Callithrix jacchus: one gene and its partner. The protein of the gene in region 2 interacts with the protein of the main gene of each other region in a pairwise test. Links are inferred from orthologs where the notes say so. Each region holds a gene or a part of one and is shown on either strand. Other genes may lie near its edges.

Region 1 (4,585 bases), on a different chromosome or scaffold from region 2:
TTACAATGGGTATAACAATAGTACCTACCCTCAGAGAATCTTTATATAAATTAGATAAGAACCTGCCTATAAAGCATGTACACTGAGCAAATGCCCAATAAGAGTCAGCTCTGGGCTCTCCTGGGATCCACATTTCCCATCTTCCACAGGTCTCATTTCCTCTTTTCCCCCTTTCCCTTCTGAACCATGGCTCTGAAACCCAAGCCTTCAGCTGTCTGGCTAGGGTTCTCCCACCAGTCATGCCCAGTTCCCAAACCTCCCCATCCCCATCCCGCCCAAGCTACCTTGAACCTCTTGTCCTGGAGAACCTTCTTGATGGCGACCAGTTCCCTGGTCTCTGCCAGCCGTGCCTGGTACACGACCCCAAATGAGCCATTGCCAATCACTTTGATGTCTGTGTAAGCCACCTCTTGGGAGCGCTCTGGGCCTTGGCCTAGAGTGGCTACCACTGTGGTCACCTTCCCGCTGTCACCTGGGGAACAAAGGGGATACACGATCCACTGACCCATCCTGTCTGCACATCGCCCCATCCTGGGGCTGTGGGAGGAAGGGAAATCTCCACAGGAAGCTTGTTGGGGACCTCTTTGTCCCTTCCTCCTCTTTGAGGAGAGGTGGATGCTGGAACTTCCCAGTGACTTTTCCCCTCTTCCTTTCTGGGAAACTTAAATCCTGCCTCTCCTCCACATGGGAGGATATTGATACGTAAACCTCTCTGCTTCAAGGGTTGTCAACCCCAAATTTCTACTTCTAGGAAGCAACAGATCACTGGTCCATCTTGGTACTGGGAGACACCAGATGTTGACTCCATCCACTCTGATCTTCTGCCCTCTGGCCCCTCATATTTGGAGAAAGCTTGACTCAACCTCATCCACTTAAGGGAGCAGAAACCCTGAGTTACTCCTACTTTAGGAAAGCACTAGTCTTTCTCACAGCCTAGAGGATACTGACCTCTAAGTCCTCCCCTGTAGAGCTGTTAACTTCACTGGTTCTTGGTGACAGAAATGAATGTCCTCTCCTGGTATACGTAGCAGTGCCTTGACCCTCACTTTTTGGTACTTTGAGATTAGAAAAAACACTGACCTGACCTCTTCATCTGTGTGGTCCACAGCCCCAGACCCCTCCCTGTATGTGGGTGGTCCCTAATGGACAAGTACCAGATTATGAGAATGATAAACCTGACTTCTATTATCAAGGGGCTAGTCCAGCCTCAGTCCTTTGAAGGAAAGCTACAATTCTCAATTCCCATTATTCAGATGGTAGCAAACCCTGGTGCCATTCTTAGGGGTCTTTGAATAACTGATGAACCAAATCCTTTTTTTTTTTTTTTTTTTGAGACAGAGTTTTGCTTTTGTTGCCTAGGCTGGAATGCAATGGTGCAATCTCAGCTCACTGCAACCTCTGCGCCCTGAGTTCAAGCAATTCTCCTGCCTCAGCCTCCCAAGTAGCTGGGATTACAGGCGCCTGCCACGACGCCCAGCTTATTTTTGTATTTTTAGTAGAGACGGGGTTTCACCATATTGGCCAGGCTGGTCTTGAACTCCTGACCTCAGGTGATCCATCCACCTCGGCCTCCCAAAGTGCTGAGATAACAGGCGTGAACCACCACGCCCAGCCACCAAATCCATTTTGAGGGGCCAGAGACATGTTCTTTCAGAGGGAGATAACCCTACATCACTATTTTTTTTTTCAGAGCCAATGACACCATACCCTAGAACATTTATTAAAGAAGTAAAACCTTAGATCCATAGTCTATAGGAAACTGTGAACCACCCTGCTCCATTCCATTTTTGTTAAAGAAGACACACCAAGCCATGTATTTTAAAATATGGACTATGGACTTGGTTTGAAGGATATGCTGACTCCCAATGTCTTTATATCGAAGAAGCAATACCTATTAATTCTCACCACTGGGGTACAGCTCAACATATTTAGGGTGGGTAATGATGCCAAGTCTTGATGTTAATAGGGAAGATGATCTGAGTACCAGGTTTGGAAAGCCCTGGCCCTATTTTTTGGGGACACAACACAGTAACCTCAAAGCCCTGATTTTAAGTGATATTCACTCCAAATCCCCATCTTCTGAAGGACAGCAAATGCAGATCCCTCTTTTTCGGGGTATTGTCTTATTCCTGTTCTCTTAGGAGACAATAGCTCCCCATTTGCAAGCGACTATGACCTCTGATCCAGTTTTCTAATGAACAGCAACGTAAGATACCTGTTCTTAAGGCTCAAGGGCCCAAGACCTCAATAATGGAAGAACACGGACTTGTAACTCGTTTCTTTAAGTGTTAATAATTCTGATCCCAGAGTAATTCTGACATCCAAGAGATGGTAACCCCAAGACCCCTTTTTCTGGGAGGGAGAGGGCTCGGATCTTCGGTTTAGGGAGGCACAGTGACCTCGAGCTCCTATCTAAGCATATGAAAGAACCTGACGGATGTCTGAGGAGCTTTAGGAACCCTGATCACCACCTACACAGGCGCCGCTAGTACTCACGGCCCAGCTTCACCCCGGGCGGCGGGAAGCTAGTGCCTGCGCCGGGGCCTCCGCTGCCTCCTCCGCCGCTGCCGCCGGGTCCACCCCCGGAGCTCGATGCCCCGACGCCCCCACCCATGGCCCCGACAGACGTCTTCCCGCCGCCGGTGCCGCCTGGGCCGGAGGCCGAGCCTCCTGGGCCGCCGCCGCCGCCTCCGCCTCCGCCGCCTGGCTCCGCAAACGAACTGGTCCGCGCCCTGCCCGAGCCCCCAGGGCCGCCTCCCGAAGGCCCGCCGCCGCTCATGGCGCCGAGCGCAGGCCCAGGCCGCGGGGCTCGGGCTGCCTGGGCTGCCCCAGCCGCCGCTGCTGCCGCCGCCTCCCCCGGGCTCTGGCCTCTTCCAGGCCGCGCCGCTCGGGCTTGGGCTCCGGCTCCGGCCCAGCGCCCGCCGCGGGGCACGCCGGGAGATGCAGTCCGGCTGTCGTCCGCGCCGCCGTCACCGCCCTCGGCCCGCACGGAGAGCCGCGTGGCACGCCGGGAAATGAAGTCCACAAAAGCCTCAAAGTACCACGGGAATGACAGGTCGCGCTGTACGTCGGGAAATGGAGTCCAGGGTAATCTGGCAGCCGACTGTACGACGGGGAGCCCTGAAGGACTTTGGGAAGCAGAGAGCCTGATGCCGCTGGGAAACGGAGTCCACTCACTCAGTCTATTGGTTGTGTATGCGTCCCAGAGCCCGGTGCGCTCTGGGAAATTGAGTCGGCGCGCGTGAACCTGCGGCTCTCCGGCCGTGAAGCAAGCCGGGAAATGGAGTCGTCGCCACGCCCTCACCGCATTGCAGGTGTAAAGAGATTTTTAGAGCACGCCGGGAAACGGAGTCCCAGTTGGTTTCCAAGCCCCAAGTGGCTACTGCAGTTCCGGAGATCGGCGAGGAAATGGCGTAGGTTTCGCGCTCCCCTTCCCAGGTACGCTAGGCCGCAGTACCTGCCGGGAAGTGTAGTCAACACCAAGGCTCTTAGAGCAGTAGCCACAGAGAGCCCTGGTGTGTTCTGGGAAATGAAGTTCCAGGCATCCTCCCCATTGACTGAGGGGGCGGGATCGCCTAAGAGTTCCAAGCGTGCTGGGGAATAGTCCAGACCTGACCTTTTGTAAGGCCAGTCTGCAGAGGCTTGCCGGGAAGCGGAGTCCAATGGCGACGATTGGGGGCGTGTGAGCAAAATTTAGAGGCTGCAGCAGTTCCCTGGAGAGACTTAAAAGTGTTTCAGCGCCTTCTTCCTCGCCCCAGGTCCTTCTTTACGAAAAAGCCGAGGTCGGTCAAGGACTGCTGGAAAATGGAGCCAAGCACCTTTAAGTTCCAGGTGATCATAGATCAAGAAAGAAAAAATGTCCCCTCTCTTGCCCCCCCACCCCCACAACTGTGCAAAGGATTCAGGAAAGAAAGTTTTCTGCGGTTTCTCAGAACACGAGCCGTCGGATACAGTCTAGCTTTTCCTAGCAATGTGGTTAGCACCAGAAAGCTTATTGGAACATTAAAAAGATTGAAATATAATTTCTGGGCCTGGCGAGATGGCTCACGCCTGTAATCCCACCACTTTGGGAGGCCAAAATGGGCGGATCACCTGATGTCAGGAGTTCGAGACCAGCCTGGCCAACATGGCAAAACCCCGTCTCTACTAAAAATACAAAAATTAGCCGGGCGTGGCGGCGGGTGCCTATAATCCCAGGTACTCAGGAGGCTGAGGCAGGAGAATCGCTTGAACCCGGGAGGCGGAGGTTGCGTGAGCCGAGATCGCGCCACTGCACTCCAGCCTGGGTGACAAGAGCAAGACCCGTCTCAAAAAAAAAAGAATTCTGTCTTGAACCCCATTCCGTTTTTGCTTTGTGTGAGACAAGGTCTCGCTACGTTGTCCAGGCTGGAGGGGAGTGGTGCGATGATAGGTCACTGCAGCCTCGAACTTGCAGGCGCAAGCAATCCCCCAGCCCAAGCCTCCCATGTAGGTGGGACTACAGGCGTGCACTACCACGCCCGGCTAATTTGCTTTCATTTGGTTTGTTTTTTGGGGGTGGGAGTTGAGGGGAGGGCTTCGACATGTTGCCCAGGCTGGTCTCCCA
Region 2 (3,811 bases):
AACTTAAGGCTATTACATGCCAAATGCACACATGAAATTCAAAACTGGTTAAACACGTACACTTGCACTGCTGTGAGGGAGTAGATAGACCCATTATTGCTCAAATAAATCCTCTGTTTATGTAGTCAGGCTACATTTTTAAAGAAAAAAGCAACATTACAAAAACCTTTTGTTTTAAATTGAAACCAAATTGTTGTCTGCCATGGAAACCATTTGACAGGAGTCAGCCAGCTTCACCTTTTACTATAAGGATAATTTATCAATGCCAAGTCATAACAAATATCCTGTACACAGACTCAATTCCATCTCTCTGACTCCCTGGCCCCCTTGCCAGGGACTCTAACACACTCCAAAGTACAGGCTTCTGCTTTTCAGGTTAGATAAAGAAGCCATGGCTAAATATAACAATTTTCTTACCAGGTCTTGCTGGTTGCTAGAGAACAAGATGGTGATCCATAGGGATGAGAATGAATAACATTCTCATTAAGAAGAAAAACAGAAGAACTGGTGTTCTTCCAAACCAGAAGTCCCTTGAAATGTCCTAAATCAGTATACTTTCTCCAACATGCCCTCTCTCTATAGGGAATTAAGAGTAAGGAGAAGAGGCAGTGTGTTTCTTAAGTATAAAAAGAAGTTGTTTAAAACAGTACAATATGTATTTTTTTCTTCTTCTGAAAGCATCTCTATTGTTAAAAAGCAATTTAAAATATCCTTAAATCATTTGTTAGAAAATGTATCTCATATTCTTTGTAACTAAAAGTTTAATAAACATATTTCCTTTCAGAGATGTTCTTTATTTACAAATGCTACCTGTTAAAAATATATTCTTTATGAGAAGTAACACTCATTTCTATAGTTATCAATTTTGGTATCGATAACTATGAGATTTGACAGAAAAGATAGAGCATGTCATTTTTTTCAAAAATGTTACTTACAACACGAAAATAATGTATAAAATAGCATTCAAATGATGTCATAGAATAAAACACTCCTATAACCATGTGTGAAGATTGTGAGATTAAGTGACTGGTCTCCCAAAGCACTATAACCTAGACAGCCAATTATAGAAAAAACAAATAATGAGGAATTCCAATAGTTTTAAAACTTTTCATTTTAGATAATGTCTTACCATCTTTGCAAGTTTTTCCATTCTCCAGGAGTTTGACCCCAGTGGGGCAAGCACACTGATAAAAAGGTTTGACTGGAGACATCAAACACAAATGGGAACAACCACCATTGTCAATTGCACATAGATTTGTAGCTGTCAAATATAAATCACATTGATTAATACCAATGATTACTAAGTACACAAAGGTTAACAACCATAACATGAACAACTGTGATAAGCCAAAATTATTACCAAATGTCATGCAGGTGCTTAACTACCAAACCATTGCAAGGAAAGGAAATAATCAGTGTAAATTTACTAAGTATTTTGTATCCAAAGAATATAAAAGAAGTAAAACAGGAAATCCCTGCCCTAAAAGAGGTTATAATTTAGTCCATTAAACAAAATTAACAACAAAAAAAGAAAAACTAAAACAAATAGAAATCAAAAAAACTAAGTGTTATTTTACACATTATAGACAACAAGTACAGAGTCAAATGGGAAAAAAAAAAACCCTGAGGTTTAAAGAATTGAAGAACTTTGTGGAGGATCTAGCACAGGAGCCTTTAAGGATAATTATATCCACTTTGTGGAAGGATAGGTAAGAGGACATTTCAAGTGTGGTAAAGCTATCTGAATAAAACCTTGGGGGCCATAAACGAGTTAAGATAATAAGATCAACAGTATAACTGGAGGTTACGGTTTCTATTGACTAATAGAAACTAAAGCTGAATGAGTATGAAGAATGGGAACAGACTGAGGTGAAGGACACTGAAAGCCAAGAAAAGTAATTATGTTAACAAGTCATGCTTTGGGAAGATTAACATAGAAGGAATAAGCAGAAAAGTGGGGAAATAAAAAGCAGAGAAAACTAATTAGCAAAATTAGAAATTATGAAAAGGGACATGTCCAAACAATACTCATAGAAAAAAAATCAACAGAAGATGGAGAGCAATGGAACATGAAAGATAAAAGTAATCAATATGAAAGATAACTGTAAATTCTCAAATTACTAAAACATAAAGGACCAACAGTGCCATTTAAAAAGAAAAACAACGCCTGTAATCCCAGCACTGTGGGAGGCTGAGGCGGGTGGATCACGAGGTCAGGAGATCGAGACCATCCTGGTCAACATGGTGAAACCCCATCTCTACTAAAAATACAAAAAATTAGCTGGGCATGGTGGCGCGTGCCTGTAATCCCAGCTACTCCGGAGGCTGAGGCAGGAAAATTGCCTGAACCCAGGAGGCGGAGGTTGCGGTGAGCCGAGATCGCGCCATTGCACTCCAGCCTGGGTAACAAGAGCAAAACTCCGTCTCAAAAAAAAAAAAAAAAAAAAAAAAGAAAAGAAAAACAGGAGGCCAGGCACGGTGGCTTATGACTATAATCCCAGCACTTTGGGAGGATAAGATGGATGGATAATTTGAGTCCAGGAGCTTGAGACCAGCCTGAACAACATGGAGAGATGAGATCCTGCGTCTATAAAAAGTACTAAAATTAGGCCAGGTGCAGTGGCTCATACCTATAATCCCAGCACTTTGGGAGGCCAAGGTGGGCAAATCACCTGAGGTCAGGATATCGACACCAGCATATCGAGAAACCTTGTCTCTCCTAAAAATACAAAAAATTAGACAGGCGTGGTGGCACATGCCTGTAATCCCAGCTACTCAGGAAACTGAGGTAGAAGAATCACCAGCCTGGGCAACAAGAATGGAAGTCCATCTCAAAAAAAAAAAAAACTAAACTAAAATTAGCCAGGTATGGTGGTGGCAGCATATGCCTATAGTCCCAGCTACTTGGGAGGTTGAGGTGGGAAGATCGATTGAGCCTGGAAGTTCGAGGCTGCAGTTAGCTGTAATCACATCAACACACAACAGAGCAAGACTCCATCTCAAAAAAACAAACAAAAAACAGGGAAAATTCTTTTGAGGGCTATAGAGAATAAAAAAATTCATATGAGTGACTGAACGTTTTCTTTTGTACAGAACAGTAACACATACATTTAAAAACATTTTTATGGGCTCATGATCATTGGATTCCAACATAACACTTTCAATATTTGATTATCTCCACCTAAATGAAAAGAGCTAATATAAAGCAACACATGGTACAAACACTCTTCATTTTTGGCTATGGAATAAAATCTGAAATACACTCAGACACATGCCAGACATTTATTTACACACAAGTGCCAAACCCTTAACATTCTCATTTTCCTTTAAACCTAATTCCAGTCCTCTCTTACAAGTTGTCAGCAGTCATAGTCCAAGTCATTGTAAAGGCTGACCAAAAATAGAACCAAAACTAAGGAAAACAAGGTGGGAAGGCTGCACAGAAAAGTTTAAGTAGGTGTTTTATTTAGCAAGCTGAGGTACTTATATTCAAATAAATTCTAGATTAACAGAGTTTTCATTTAAAAAAAAGAGGGTTTTCTTTCCCCTGAGACAGAATTTCATTCTTGTTGCCCAGGCTCAAGCGCAATGGCATGATCTCGGCTCACTGCAACCTCTGCCTCCTGGGTTCAAACAATTCTCCAGCCTCAGCCTCCCAAGTAGCTGGGATTACAAGCATGTGCCACCAAGCCCAGCTAATATTTTTGATATTTTAGTAGAGACGAAGTTGCACCATGTTGGGCAGGCTGGTCTCAAACTCCTGACCTCAAATGATCCACCAGGCTTGGCCTCCCAAAGTGCTAAGATTACA

The links.
Region 1: the proteins of LRP6 (region 2) and GSK3A interact in binary tests that used the Homo sapiens proteins (3 or more experiments, as listed by UniProt). The link is inferred for Callithrix jacchus from reciprocal best matches to the Homo sapiens genes LRP6 and GSK3A.

Annotation. Positions count from the first base shown.
Region 1 is NC_133523.1:37,269,524-37,274,108, forward strand, and holds the start of GSK3A (glycogen synthase kinase-3 alpha), read right to left. Parts: upstream 2,945-4,585; 5' UTR 2,780-2,944; coding exon 2,497-2,779; intron 473-2,496; coding exon 285-472; intron 1-284. UniProt on the Homo sapiens protein: Constitutively active protein kinase that acts as a negative regulator in the hormonal control of glucose homeostasis, Wnt signaling and regulation of transcription factors and microtubules, by phosphorylating and inactivating glycogen synthase (GYS1 or GYS2), CTNNB1/beta-catenin, APC and AXIN1.
Region 2 is NC_133510.1:11,104,563-11,108,373, reverse strand, and holds part of LRP6 (low-density lipoprotein receptor-related protein 6), read right to left. Parts: intron 1,262-3,811; coding exon 1,130-1,261; intron 1-1,129. UniProt on the Homo sapiens protein: Component of the Wnt-Fzd-LRP5-LRP6 complex that triggers beta-catenin signaling through inducing aggregation of receptor-ligand complexes into ribosome-sized signalosomes.